Linked DNA regions of Yarrowia lipolytica. The protein of the gene in region 1 purifies or fractionates together with the protein of each later gene. This does not show direct contact. Links are inferred from orthologs where the notes say so. Each region holds a gene or a part of one and is shown in the gene's direction. Other genes may lie near its edges.

What was found. Proteins that work in one complex are often made in the same cells at the same time.
Region 2: the proteins of YALI1_F16656g (region 1) and YALI1_D21120g purify together in Saccharomyces cerevisiae (affinity purification with mass spectrometry, with the first as the bait; 3 studies listed by BioGRID). This does not show direct contact. The link is inferred for Yarrowia lipolytica from reciprocal best matches to the Saccharomyces cerevisiae genes HSP78 and AIM9.

What each region holds. Positions count from the first base shown.
Region 1 is NC_090775.1:1,662,220-1,671,044, forward strand, and holds YALI1_F16656g (uncharacterized protein), read left to right. Parts: upstream 1-3,395; coding exon 3,396-5,744; downstream 5,745-8,825. Other genes in the region: YALI1_F16614g (uncharacterized protein), read left to right, coding at 1-1,101; YALI1_F16649g (uncharacterized protein), read right to left, coding at 2,527-2,721, 2,765-2,878; YALI1_F16702g (uncharacterized protein), read right to left, coding at 7,010-7,987. UniProt on the Saccharomyces cerevisiae protein: Required, in concert with mitochondrial Hsp70 (SSC1), for the dissociation, resolubilization and refolding of aggregates of damaged proteins in the mitochondrial matrix after heat stress.
Region 2 is NC_090773.1:2,108,109-2,114,290, forward strand, and holds YALI1_D21120g (uncharacterized protein), read left to right. Parts: upstream 1-3,942; coding exon 3,943-5,682; downstream 5,683-6,182. Other genes in the region: YALI1_D21100g (uncharacterized protein), read left to right, coding at 1,869-2,984; YALI1_D21145g (uncharacterized protein), read right to left, coding at 5,802-6,182.

The sequences.
Region 1 (8,825 bases):
GGAGCTCTGTGTTCGCTTCTTCTCGAGGTGTTTTATCTCGTGGTGGTTGTCATCTACTCCATTTCCAAACGCAAATACGCATACTCTCGCACGTCTATAGTTATGGCCGCCATCTCGTGGTTGGCCATGATCCTGCCCATGGTCTTTATCGTGTTTGATATTGCTCATTACTGGATTGCAGGCTGGTCAGACTTCATTCGGTGGACGGCTGACGCTGCTGCCTCGGTAGTAGTGTGGGAATGGACCAATGTGATTGTGTACCAGGAGCGAAGAGAGCAACGACAATCAGTCCTGGGCCGTCAGGTGTATAGAGACGAGATTCTGGACTTTAAGGGCGACAACGGAGGAGGAACAGTTGGAGGAGGGCGAACAAAGTATCCTTCTCGCATGGAGGAAGACGACGTTCCTTTCAGATCGTCTCCCAACGACCACCACTTTACTTCCAACATTCCTACTTCTGCTGGCGAGGGACAGTCGTTCCAGTTCTTCAAACGGGCCAGATTGCCCATGTACTCTCGCAAGATTTGGAAAATTGCTCGAGGAGAGTCTGCAGCTAGTAACAACACCCATTACGAGCACGCCATCATTGAGGAAGAGGAGGAGGAGTCCATTGAACGAAACAGACGGACTCCCACTGTTCAGGAGAATGGAGAGGAGGACGACGAGGAGACTTATGACGAAGAGAATGACCAGTACAGCCAGGACAACCATTCGTCTGTGCATTCCTTTGAGTCCAGTCGACCTTCCCAGCACCCAGTTCCTTCCTCCGGAGGCACTCGGGCTGTGGGACACACGCATTTTCCTCTTCCCGGCCAGTCCGAGGGAGCAAACACTACTTCTCCTGCTGCTGCTGCTGCTGCTGCAGAACCTGAACCTGAACCCGTGGCTGGTCCTTCAGGGGGAGCTGCTGCCCATGGAGACTCGGATGACGACTCGGACAACTCGGACGACTCTTCTCTGGCGTCCTTCACCGTGATTCAGCAGACTGGCTTCTCAGTCGACAATCAGGGAGTACCCGAGTACGACGCAGACTCTGCTCCTCCCACTTTTGAACCCATTCCTGGCTTCCATCGCCAGGATTACTCGGATGCAAAGGGATAGGAGACCTATTTATATATTAACGATAATGATTTATGACATTGGACTTTACGATAGGCGAGGCGATGAGGGTGCTTGCGTGTATCGCCGAGATAATGTGAAGTTACTTGTCACTTAAGCCATGCTCATTGTAGCGAGATACAGTAGGATGTTTGTGAGCTTCATTTACCATCCTCTTCAAATTCTCATGACTCAACTCTTTGAATCATGTAGATCGAAGGCAGTCAGTTCAATGTTACATTGTCTATAACTTGCTGAATGATCCAGTTGAAGACTCCAATCAAGTCTCATACGAAACTAGAGTGGTTTTATCACACCGAGTTGTCTTTATTCCGCCGTTGAAACGATATCTATAAATTCACAGCTCGTAAACCAATCCACTATGGATAAATCACAACTGGGCACATCTTCAACGTCGACAACGACAAAGATAATGAATGGTATTGGATTGGAAGCATGAACATATAGCCGTACTCCAGAAATAACCGCCCCAAACTGCTTCCATCTCCCCATCTCCACATCTAACCCCAGGGTTTTCCAAAAAAAAATTTGGTTTTACCATTTTTTATTCAATCACGTGACTTGTATCACTTTACTTGTGTCTCCAACGCCGTTGACAAATTAACCTTCGTCCCCTATAGCTCAGTTGGTAGAGCGTTCGGCTTTTAGTAACCCTAAAGGCATGGTAACCGAAATGTCCAGGGTTCGAGCCCCTGTGGGGGAGTTAACATTGTTAATTTCCTTTTTGTTTTTTTTTGGTGTTTTTCTTTTGTTTTTGTTTCTCCTCGCCTTGGATAAAAATTGTGCACTGGTTTTAGCCCCCTTTCATAAGTACAGTACCGGTACATTGTGCTGGAAGTTGTAGCCATGTCAGATAAAAATGTTGTTTAAATTGCTCACCAAAAAAGTGGAGTCATATTCTGAGATGTTTTGGGCAGTTTTTCGCACGGAAAAAGTTGAAAATCAGATCTACAAACACTTTAAAATATATTTATTGATTCAATTTTGTTGTTTATCACCACTAACACCACGTTTGGTACGTCTTTTGTCCCAGATATTAAACTCCGTTATCAGTGGGGCTTGCATTTATCATGCATAATCGTTTGAATTAGTTTCACATTGAGAATAGTGTCTCTAACTCGGTCAATATCGATGGGGTTGACTAGGTGAAAGTTGTAAATACATTATAAGACTCACCGTGAACTCTAGTAAAAAAATTGTCTTTCTACGACCTCTATTGATCCAGAAAAATGAACATCTCGTGAATCCCCCATTTGCCTGTCCTGATCTTAGAGAAACTCGAAAACTACAATTTTCACAGGGTCAATTGAAGAGCTGGTATATTGCAATGTCATTTAGAGCCTTTATATCAACTTTCGGTGTCAATTTGGGCCCATTTGTCACATTCTCGTGTGTAAATATCGGCTGTCATTTTTTGGCTCGATAGAGTTTTGGTCTAAACCAAACTGCGGTTATTGGAATGAGAGTGGAAAACGTCCAGGTGGGTTGTGAGAGGTGACATGAGCTTGAATCAACCACCAGCGAGTTTCTACCATTGGTTTTTGCCGCTTTCATGGTCTCCTTTTCTCCAAACATCCACCACATTCTAGAAGATTCCAAGGCCTTCTACAACGTTCCACCCGATTCCATAGTGCCGAAACATCACCGGGAATGGGTCCTGAACCGCAAATTTTTCCCGTTTCGCCACCATTCTTCCCATTGACCCGGTTAAAATCGGTTTCTTTGCCACCGGGCGTGAAATCGCCCATCTAGCGCTCATTCTGAATGGTCCAAAACCACCCTTCCCGCTCTAGGAAGAGGCATACCACTGTCGATTCGTACTGCGACCACTCCGCCCAGAAATACTGTACGAATGCTACACTGCTGCCGCCTCTGCTCACACCACCGCCCACATGCACATTTCCCCGCTCATTGGCCCGCGAAAGGGTTGCTACGAGGGCCAGACTGAGGCAGTCTCAGCCTCGCGATTAGGTTAAGGCGTAGGCATATGTGATGCCTTTAGATGTGCGGAAGATGTCGTATCTACTGACGCTAGCAGGGGCAGTACACGTCAACAAACCACATAATCGTCTTCTCCATCCTCGGTTTAGTTGATTTCCCGTCTCTCCCGCCTTTGCCACCGCCACAGGTCCCAATAATCGCCATGGACGATTCCAGAACCGCCTTCAACTTTCAGCTCGGTTAACTTTGACGGTCCCATCGCCAAATATATATATCAGCAGCGGTAGCGGAGCAGACACACATAAAACGCACACGCTAACTACTACTTCAACATTATGTTTCGAGTGAACGCAAAGAACGTGCAGCGATTGAGGGCGCGACCTCTCGCTCACGCCAGCACAAGGACCCAGGTCCAGACCAGAGCTTTGAGTACTGCTGTTCGACCTACGACCTCCGCTACTACCAGCTGCTCTACATGGGGCACCATCAGAACCCCGACGATGATTCGGGCTCCAGGAAGCCTCGGATCGCCGAGATTCATCACTATGACCCAGAACCCCGGTGGCGAAAAGTCGTACCTGGAGTCGTACGGAGTGGATCTGTGCGAAAAGGCCAAGGAGGGCAAGCTAGATCCGGTGATTGGTCGAGACGAGGAGATCAAGCGAACGATCCAGATTCTGTCTCGACGAACGAAAAACAACCCCGCGCTGATTGGTCTGGCCGGAACCGGTAAGACCGCCATCATGGAGGGTCTGGCCCAGCGAATCGTCAACGGCGAGGTGCCCGAGTCCATGAAGGGCAAGCGGGTGATAGCTCTGGACGTGGGGGGACTCATTTCCGGCGCCAAGTACCGGGGCGAGTTCGAGGAACGTCTCAAGGGCATTCTGGAGGAGATTGACAAGGCTGAGGGCGAGGTGATTCTCTTTGTCGACGAGTTGCATCTGCTGCTGGGCCTAGGAAAGGGCGAGGGCTCGGTTGACGCCTCCAACCTGCTCAAGCCCGCTCTGTCGCGAGGTAAGCTGCAGTGCTGTGGAGCCACCACCATTGACGAGTACCGAAAGTACATTGAGAAGGATGCGGCCCTGGCTCGACGATTCCAGTCGGTCATGGTCAACGAGCCCTCCGTGGAAGACGCCATTTCCATTCTGCGAGGTCTCAAGGAGCGGTACGAGGTGCACCACGGAGTGCGACTGACCGACGCTGCTCTGGTGACTGCCGCCGTCTACTCCAACCGGTACATTTCCGACCGGTTCCTCCCCGACAAGGCCATTGATCTGGTTGACGAGGCTTGTTCGGCCCTGCGACTTCAGCACGAGTCCAAGCCCGACGAGCTGCAGGAGCTGGAGCGCCAGACGGTGACTCTGGAGATTGAGCTGGAGTCGCTGCGAGAGGAGGAGGACCCTCTGTCGGTGGAGCGACGAAAGAAGGTGGAGGAGAAGCTCGAATTCAAGAAGGGCGAGATTGAGCGGCTCACCAAGGTGTGGGAGGACGAAAAGCGGGCCATTGACCAGATCAAGGAGACCCAAAAGACCCTTGATGGCGCCCGAACCGATCTCGACACCGCCAGACGAACCGGCGACTTTGCCGCCGCCTCCAAGATCCAGTACCAGGACATTCCCGAGCTGGAGCGGATTCTCAAGGACGCCGAGTCCTCCGACGCCGGCTCTTCGTCTCTTTTGCACGACTCTGTGACCCCCAATGACATTGCCAAGGTTGTTTCTCGAATGACCGGCATCCCTACATCGTCCATGATGAAGGGCGAGAAGGACAAGCTGCTAGATATGGAGGTGTGCATGAAGTCACGTGTTGTGGGCCAGGACGAGGCCGTGGACGCTGTGGCTGACGCAGTGCGACTCCACCGAGCCGGTCTCACCAACCAGAAGCGTCCAGTGGCCTCGTTCATCTTCCTGGGACCCACCGGTACCGGTAAGACCGAGCTGACCAAGGGTCTGGCCGAGTTTCTGTTTGACGACGAGAATGCCATCATTCGGTTCGATATGTCCGAGTTCCAGGAGCGACACTCCATTGCTCGACTCATTGGTTCTCCCCCCGGCTACGTTGGCTACGAAGAGTCTGGAGAGCTGACCGAAAAGGTGCGACGAAAGCCCTACGCCGTGGTTCTGTTTGACGAGTTTGAGAAGGCCCACCCTGATGTGTCCAAGCTGCTGTTGCAGGTGCTGGATGAGGGTACGCTGACCGACTCGCAGGGCCGAAAGGTGGACTTTACCAACACCATTCTGGTCATGACCTCCAACATTGGCCAGGAGTATCTGATTTCGGACTCTCCCGACTCCAAGAAGAAGGTGATTGAGGCGCTCAAGTCGCACTACGCCCCCGAGTTCATCAACCGAATCGACGAGACTCTGGTGTTCAACCGACTGACCAAGGAGGCGCTGACCGAGATTATCGACATCCGGCTGCTCGAGGTCCAGGCTCGACTCGAGGACAAGCGAATCACGCTCTTTGTCGACGACGAGGCCAAGCAGTTCCTCGTCGACCACGGCTACGACCCCATGTACGGCGCCCGACCTCTCAACCGACTCATCCAGAAGAAGGTGCTCAACCCACTGGCTCTCCATCTGATCCAGGGCCGAACCCGAACCGGCGAGAATGTGCACGTGACTGTTAAGGATGGCGACATTTACGTTCCTGCCAACCACGAGACTGGAGAGATTGAGGAGTGAACCAACCTAGCGTCAAGCTGCATGTCTGGTAGACAGAGGTCATCAGATGAAGGTAGACTACACTAATGTATATAGAATAATGTTACTGATTGATAAGTTGAGAGAGAATATTGTAGAGCAGGGCCGATTGTATCAGTGTGTACTCCAACTTGATGAATCAGTCAACACCCCATTTCCAATCGCGTTGATATGGCGTACTTTGAGGTTGTCGGTGTCAACTCAAGCAGCCGTTCCGTAGTGTTATTGGGCAGCGAAATACTCTTATCAAAAGTCACGGAGCAAGCCAATGGACTTGAAAAGTTTGGACAATAGCCAAGAATCTCGATTTCCAAGTGTATTACTTCTCTCCGCCCTTTTCTCCCTCTTCTGAGTACAAGTAAATCTCTGACAGGACTTCACAACAGGTCAACACTATCAAATGATACAATGTGCCCGGGCACTTGAGTTGATTGAAATCATTGACGATCAAATTGCGAAGCCTCGCTTTGCACTCCTCGCTTTGCACTCCTCGCGTTGCACATCCTGTCGGAAGTTTCTGCTCCACCCAGAAACATGTCTACCATTCGTCTCGAAGGACTCTGGCAGGCAGCATAAAAAGAACTGATGACACAGGCATAGATACATTCATCTGTACGCTAAAATAACCCATCTCTAGCCTCAAAAAAAAAAAAATGGACGACACCGGAATCGAACCGGGGACCTCGCGCATGCTAAGCGTATGTGATAACCAACTACACCAGACGCCCTGATTTTTTAAAAACAAGGACATGTGCAACTGAGTTCTGGGTAATGGGTTAGGGATCACTGCCTCTTTGGGTAATCATAATCTATGGATGTTGGAGTTTCACTGATTTCGGAGTTTCACTGATTTAGGAGTTTCAAGCAGATTTTGGAGATACAAGCAAATATATGAGCATATAACAAAGTGTGACAAGTTCATTAGTACTCTTTCAATCAGTTTTCGGTGTTTGGTTAGGCTAAATAACGTGTTGAGGAACTCAAGAGGTGAGTATGGTACGAAGATTCCTCAAAGCGCGGTAGAAAATGGAAAAGCCATTCTTGACGTTTCTCACGTTCATCTATGTGTATTTTCATCGCTGTTTGTTACTCCTTTTCGTTGTCTACACCTTCACCTCTCTAGGTTGAAAATCAATAATCTATATACATGCTTGGTAGCTTGTGGGCCTAGTGCACTGTATCCGAGTCTGTGGAGTTGCATTCTCCATCCATAGAGCACTGGTAAAGTCCATTTGGGTCTGGAACGTCTACTTGAGCTTCTGAATCTCACGTTCTCTCAGATGACGTCTCCAGAGAATCTCGGCGGGGTCCTGCTCCGGCTCCACCCACTGAAAGCCCTCTCCGCTTTCGGACCAGTATAGCTGCATCATTTTCTCATCGTGAGTGGTCACTGGCGCCATTTTTCGGTCAATAAGTGCGTCCAGGACCTCCTCAGACACCTGGCCCTGGTTTTCGGGCATAAGTCGGTCAATCTCGACAATTCGAGACACCATTTTCATCTCGTCCGCGTGGGTAAAGTAGTGCGAGTAGAAAGTGCCCTGCATCCACTTGACCACCTCTCCGTTGCCGCAGAAACGACCAGCAGTTGAAATGACCGAAAAGATGGACACGTTGGCAAAATAAGCCCACCAGAGAATGTGGAAGGTTGCTGGGGCCACACCAAACAGCAGATCGGCAGCCATGAGCCCCTGTCCAGCACCAGAGATGCTCAGGCCAAACAGACCCCACACGCCCAGATATTTAAGCATCTTTTGTTTGATGGACTTGATGTGTTGAGGCGAGCCGGCCGACAGGTCGACGACCTTGAAGGCTGCGGGGAAGTCTGTTTCCCAGAGCGCCTTTCGCAGTGGACCCATGGCCACGGTTCGGGGAATCGGGGTGTCTGGGTTCTTTTGTTGCCACACCTCCATAGCCCGGGTTCCAAACCAAGGAGAGTAGTACTTGGAAGTACACACCGTCTTTTGCAGCATGTCCAACGAAGGCTTTTCAGGTAGGTCCAGCACCTTGTCAATGAGCTCCCGCACCTCGTGAACCTGCGTAGTAAGCCCACTGGCAGCGTATGTGTGTTCCAGCTTGTTGGCAGCATGCAGGGCAGAAACCACGTCTTCAGTTGAAGAAGAAGGCGTCAGCTTGGCCGAGTAAGCTGTAATGGCACCAATGTCGAGCGGACCCGAAAAGGGGACCCGTAAAGCGGCCGTAGTGGAAAATAGACGTCGAGAGAGCATTCTGTGATCTGAAGTTGTTTCCAGTAGTTGCTAGGGGATCAGTGGTTGGATGAGAACAGATTTCCACGTGATTGAATTACTCAACAGATACAATATACTGGAGTGACAAGTCGAATCGTTCCGTTTTCTGCCTTAGTCGCCAGATAGCCGTGGTAGCCGTGTTTTTCGTCAACACAGTCGAAGATATCATATTGGATTTTGACTTTGGATTTTTATTCGTCTGCTTAGTCAGCGGGTGGTCAGCTGGAAACGGGGGGTTCTGGAGGGTTTTGACACGGTTACAGAAGGTTTCTTGCTGGAATTGACTACATGACGCTGGAAATGTATTGTACGTTTGATTTTGTTTGAATATCTCGGGTTTTGGAGATGTTGTAATGACTAAGTAGGTTTAGGCGTTTAGTTATACAATTAGTTGATGTTTTGTTAGACAATAATAGACAGTAAAATGTGGCATCTAAAGTGCTATAAAGAGAGGGATAAAGCGTCCAGCATGGTTTCAGACGTGGTTTGGCCAGTCTAATATAATCCATCAATCCTTGGAAGATCATAAATCCCATTTATACATTCTTGTTCCCGTAGAAACATGAGTCGTCGACTTAGAAGACATTTGAGAGGGTATAAACGTAAGACAACGACTCTTGGGTCTTTGTCTAGATCATCCATATTCCTTTTGTCACTCTTTTTTCTTCCTCGGCTTGTCACCATCATCCTAGCGTCATTTCAAATAATCAAATCACGTGACTTATTTGACCGAGTGTGTTGATTTAATGCTTTATTTTACCAGTTGCGGCCATATCCTGGTGAAAATACGGCTTCCCGTCCGATCAGCCATAGTCAA
Region 2 (6,182 bases), on another chromosome or scaffold:
CTGAGCAGTAACCAGAGATCGATGCAACCCAAACATTATCTGATAGAGTCCAGCATATAACGTCTTCGACTGGGCGTGACAAAAGCAGATATTGACATATAGAAAGCTTTTGGTATATCTTTGGGCATACTGAAAGTTCGAGAAGCTATTTCTAGCCTTTCTGATCTCAGAGATAATGACTATAGCTCGTCCAATATCGCACACAACGTACCTCGGATCAAAGTTACTGTTGACAATCTGGGTACAGCAACAAGCAACGGTGAATGTGCCTTTAGAGCAGTCTTCGAGAAGCGAATTTTTTACTGGGGGATCTTGGAGTTTGGAATACCTGGTTTACGTCTTTTCTACTCAGATTCGGGGAAACAGGGGTCTGTTGACGAAGGCTTCCTGGTGTCTAAAAAAAATACGATTAGGTTTGGAGGTGTTGTAGCATGTCGATGTTAGTAGTTGTGATAGAGGAGTTTTGCACTCGTTGTAGGACAGTTTGGGCGAAGGGTACTTGTTGCATCAGTTTTACATCCGAATATTAATAAATTCCGCAAATAATAGCAGATTTTGGTCACATTACCCAAGAGAGTCCTTTTTTTTTTTTTTTTTTTTTTTTTTTTTTTGGCCATTTTGGGACAGGTAATTCAGGTGTAGCATCAGCGAATGTTCAACTTCTGTGGTGGACTGTCGGCATGGAATCCAACAAAGGAGCTGATATACAGAAACGTTTTCGGCTGATCTTGGAGATGGTACCAATCTCGTATTCATCGCTACACTGTCTCCTGTTCACATTCACCATCCCCATACTTCTCTGTGTCTGTCCAATGGCGGTGAGTGGAGGTCGTTCATTCGCACATATAGGACCACGAGAGTTCTGGAGAGTTCTGGAGAGTTCTGGAGAGTTCTGGAGAAGTTTTTAAAGGGTTTCCATCGCTAAAAGTTTTTGGCAACTAGCGTCCAAGTTTCTGGCAGAAACTGAGCGTCGTGTTCTGCTTACAGCATCTAAACTGGACACCCATGGGCTACAGTACAAGTTCTTATGGAACTATCCCATTGAGAGTTGAGAATCTCCTTCTGTGACCCGCAAATCAGAATCCGTTATCTCTTGCCGTTGAGATTCACTCAGATCATTCCATAACAAGTACCTGTACAAGCCATGGTAGGTACAGTGCCACTTGATTTACTACGACTACTTCGAATTATCACAATAACTAGCGAAAATGAAGATTAAATCGAAGAAAAGAGCGTGATATTCGAAGATCGCGAATAGCTACAGAAACACATTCTTATCATCTACTGTAGTGTATTCTCACCATTCACCCTCACATCATACCCATCATGATCAATACTTGACTAGCTAGTGTATGAGAAACAAGCATCGTAACCACTTTTCATAACCACTCTTCATGACCACTCTTCATAACTAGTATCTCCGGGGTCCACCACAGAAAGAGCTACTTGTAGCAACTTCACCCACCCTAGAATCAATATCCCTACATCTGAGTGCCGGTATCTGCTAATGCGCTCATATGTCATTCCTGCATATTGGATGATGCGGATGGTGCGGAATATGATAATACCGGACTTATATCCATGGGTTCTGTTGAAGCTGAGAAAGTGAGACCGACTGTTGCGAAAAGGCTTAGTAATCAGTTCCAAGGACACCCCTTCTCCACGCCTTCTCCACAAACGCGTGTAATATACCTCCAAAACCTCACTCATGAGCTCTCCCGCAAGACCGTCATTTACTTAGCCTTTCCACTAACTCTAATATTTAGTTGCTTACTACTTGATCTCAAATAAGCTTCTGGATAGGTGAAAAGATTAGAGCTGTACATACAGAAGCACACCCACTTCCACACCACTCTGACATCTCAAAAATGACCTCTGTGGAGAACACCTGCAGCGGCCCCGATTGCGGAAAGATTGTCGACGGCAGCCTCAAGTGCCCCGTCTGTCTCAAGACCGGCGTCAACGCCTTTTTCTGCGACCAGACCTGTTTCAAGCGAAACTGGGCCCTGCATAAGTCGGTCCATAGTCCCGCTGGCCAAGAAACCACTGATCCCTTCCCCAACTACAGCTACTCCGGCGACCTGCGAGCCGTGTACCCCCTGCATCCTCGTCGAGAGGTCAAGCCCAACATTGTGAAGCCCGACTATGCTGGAGACGGTCAGCCCATCAGTGAACAGAAGGTGCAGCGATCCACCCAGATCACCGTGCTTTCCGAGGACGAGCAGAACACCATGCGAAAGGTGTCCAAGCTGGCCCGAGAGGTTCTGGACGCCGGTGCCGCCGCCATCAAGCCCGGAGTGACCACCGAAGAAATCGACGCCATTGTGCATGCTGCTTGTATGGAGCGAAACGCCTACCCTTCGCCTCTCAACTACTACAACTTCCCCAAGTCCGTTTGCACCTCTGTCAACGAGGTCATCTGTCACGGCATTCCTGACAAGCGACCTCTGCAGGACGGCGACATAGTTAACCTGGACGTGACCATCTACAAGGACGGATTCCATGCCGATCTCAACGAGACCTACTACGTCGGAGACAAGGCCAAGGCCAACAAGGACGTTGTGCGACTGGTTGAAACCACCCGACAGTGTCTGGCCAAGGCCATCGAGGCCGTCAAGCCCGGTGTCATGTACAGATCGCTCGGCGAGGTGATTGAGAACGAGGCCAAGAAGGCCAACCTGTCTGTGATCCGAACCTACTGCGGTCACGGTATCAACCAGCTGTTCCACTGTGCCCCCAACGTGCCCCATTACGCCCGAAACAAGGCAGTTGGCGTGATGAAGCCCGGCCACACCTTCACCATCGAGCCCATGCTGTCGCTGGGATCCTTTAAGGACCAGACCTGGCCCGACAACTGGACCGCTGTGACTTCCGACGGAAAGTGGTCCGCACAGTTTGAGCACACTCTGTTAGTCACTGAGACTGGTGTGGAGATTCTCACCGCAAGATACAAGAACTCTCCCGGCGGGCCCGTTTCTGCATGAGCGGCGACCTGAGCGAGGCGGATGAGGTGCAACTACAGTATGTACTTATACTGTACACTGTGCTTGGTCAATCTACTCGAGACTCTACCATCTGTATCACGACTCTACATGGCGACAGATACAGATTCAGCTCACAGATATATGTATGAATGATGATGAACGGGGTGCATAACTGAGAGGTTCACGGTTGTAGTGGTTGCAATAGGTATACTACTTGTAGCTACCCGTACAAGTAAATAGCTAACAAATACCCTTCCCACTTTATTTAGCAGTTCTGATAAAACTACACACTCTCCCTCCTACACATCACTTGGATCCAAACGACACAGACACAACCAAAGCGGCGGACGCAATCATGTTCTGTCTCCAATTCGGCGGGAATGTCTGTGTCGGGTGAGCGAGTGGTGTGTTACAGGAATTGGGGTTGGCAATCACGTCACGTCGCGTCACGCCATGGATGGTTACACATACCCAACAGGTTAAGAGTATCACTGCAGACACGGGACATATCCGTTCTCTCCGTTAAACTTCCGCCTCATGTCTCAGTCTGCCTTATTTCAAGGTGGCCAGAAAATGAGTGTAGGGGTGAAGAAAAAAATTCGTTGCGGCGGAAAGATATGGTGCTATTTGCGGACCTGTCTGGAAGTTGAACTCGGGGCTTTGCATTGTTTGGTTACAGTTTTCTCGCCGTCATTTTCCAGTCATTTGCCCATGGATGGTGCTCGGGTTTTAGTTCTGAAAAAACTAGGTTGGGTTTTGCAAAGTGAGAATTCTCTAGAAGGGGCATGAGGGGAGGCTACAACCTCTTCAGTTTAGCATCGATTTGCATTCTGGAGCGGTTGATCAACGTGAAATTCTTCAATTGGTATGTCTTTCCTTTTTCAGCTCTCTGGCACCCCTCGATCATCCTCCACCTCTCGTCATCCACTCATAATCTCAAACCTAACTTCCCCAGAGTATGCAAAGCTGGAACTCACAGTCCTTTCTCTCCTCACACTTCACCATGCTCCGATACGCTTGCAAACGAGCCGTGCCGCGCCTGAACGCCGCCTCCGGCCTGAGATTCCAGTCCTCCAAGCCCGCCGACGGGCCCGAAACCGTCTTCACCTCTCTCAATGAGGAGAATGACCCCAACCGAGACGCCTTCTTCAAGTACACTTGGGGAACCTGGCTCAAGAACAACGAGGCCGAGCGAGCCAAGCGAGAGACCCGGTTCTCGATCGAGGGTCTTGCCGAGGTGATCAAGTCGCTCCCCCAGTCTGGTAAGGCTCCCATTGAGGCCGAGACCGAAATCAAGGTCACCCAGCTGGCTTCGCTACACGAGGGCAAGCACCACCGAGTCTACCGAGTTGATGTGGACGACGGCAAGCAGTACGTGCTGCGAATCCCCTACGGTCTGGGCTCCGAGCTCTTCCGAAAGAAGCGAATCCAGTCCGAGGTTGCCACCATGGACTTTGTGCGAGAGAAGGTGGCCAACAACAAGTTCATTGTGCCCGAGGTTTACAGCTGGAACGCTACTGTCGACAACCCTCTCGACACTCAGTACACCCTGATGGACTACTTTGCTGGCCGAGACACTCTGATGAAGCACTGGAACCCCGTGGCTCAGGAGATGACCGAGCGAGCCGCCAAGATCAAGCCCGTTGTTGATATCTACTCTGCGCTGCTGCAGCCCGAATTCACCCGGTACGGATCCCTGTACTTCACCGAGGACGTGTCTTCCAAGGACGCTTCTGTTCTGGCCTACAAGGGTGCTGAGAACGACAAGAAGGAGCTTGCTGACCGATGGAGAATTGGACCCACCACCGAGTCTCGATTCTGGAAGAACTCCTTGCCCGAGGACTCGCCCCTGCGAGGCCCCTGGGAGACTGCCGAGGAGTACATTGAGGCCACTGCTGCCATCAACCTGCACAACCTGGCTGAGCTTGCCAAGAACGGCGACCGAAACCCCGCCGTGGTTGCTGCTGCCACCGCCACTTACGAGAAGTACCAGCAGCTTGCCTCCCAGCTTCTCCTGCGACCCGAGGTTGAGAATGACAACCTGTTTTCTGCCCGAATGGGCTTTGGTGACCTGCACCCTATCAACGTGCTTGTTGAAGGCCAGAAGGATATTGCCGAGTCTTCTCTTGCTCTGGTCGACTTTGAGAACACTTCCATTAAGCCCGCTCTGTTGATCGGAACTCCCGACTATGTGCGATACGGAGGCCTCAAGCTGTTCAAGACCGAGGACATTCCCAACTACGACCAGCTCAGCGACCAGGAGAAGGCACAGGTCAACTACATGATTGCCCAGACCCAGAACGCCTTCACTTTTGAGTTCCTGCTCAACAACGAGGCTCCTGAGTTCATCAACTCCTTCTCTCCTCGAGTCAAGCGGCTGTCAGAGCCTGTTAGACTCGCCCTCAACCCTCTGTATCTCGAGGACCACCTTGATCTGTCGGAGGAGATGATCAAGCTGCAGCAGGATTGGACCCCCATCATGGGTATGGAGCGAGAGTTCCCTGTCCACTGGACCAACGAGGAGTATGAGAAGCAGGCCAAGGACTTTGCCGAGTGGAACCAGAAGGCCATGTCCACTCCCTTCTTCCAGACCAAGGGCTGGGTTCCTCAGGACATGTTTGAGCAGCTGTTTGGAAACGGTCTGCTGGACAAGACCGAGAGCGGAGACTATGTCTACGTTCCTCCCAAAAAGGAGTAATGGTTTAGTCCAACTTCAATGTCCAATAGTATATAGTAAATAGTCAATGAGATCAATGAGTCTAGCAATGGCAGGGACCTTATCTATCAACATCTATTATATCTACTAATTAGCACTCTCTAATGGTCACACTTTTTAGGGCCCTGGTCTCCCCAGTCGAGGGTGAACCGTCCCTCGGCGACCTTGTACTCCTTGATCTTCTCAATGACCTCCTCGGCCGTCTCACCTACAACAACAATGTCTCGAGCGCCGTTGCCAATGAACCCCTGTTCCACGGCCTTGTTGATCCATTCAATGAGGCCATCGTAGAAACCGTTGATGTTGAACAGCACGATGGGACAGGAGTGGATTCCCAGCTGGTTCCAGGTAATGACCTCAAACAGCTCCTCTGCGGTTCCGTAGCCACCGGGAAGGGCTACAAACGCATCAGCCTCCTGGCCCATGAGCCGCTTTCGAGTATGCATGTCCTGCACCACAGTTGTCTGTCCGTACTCCTCCAC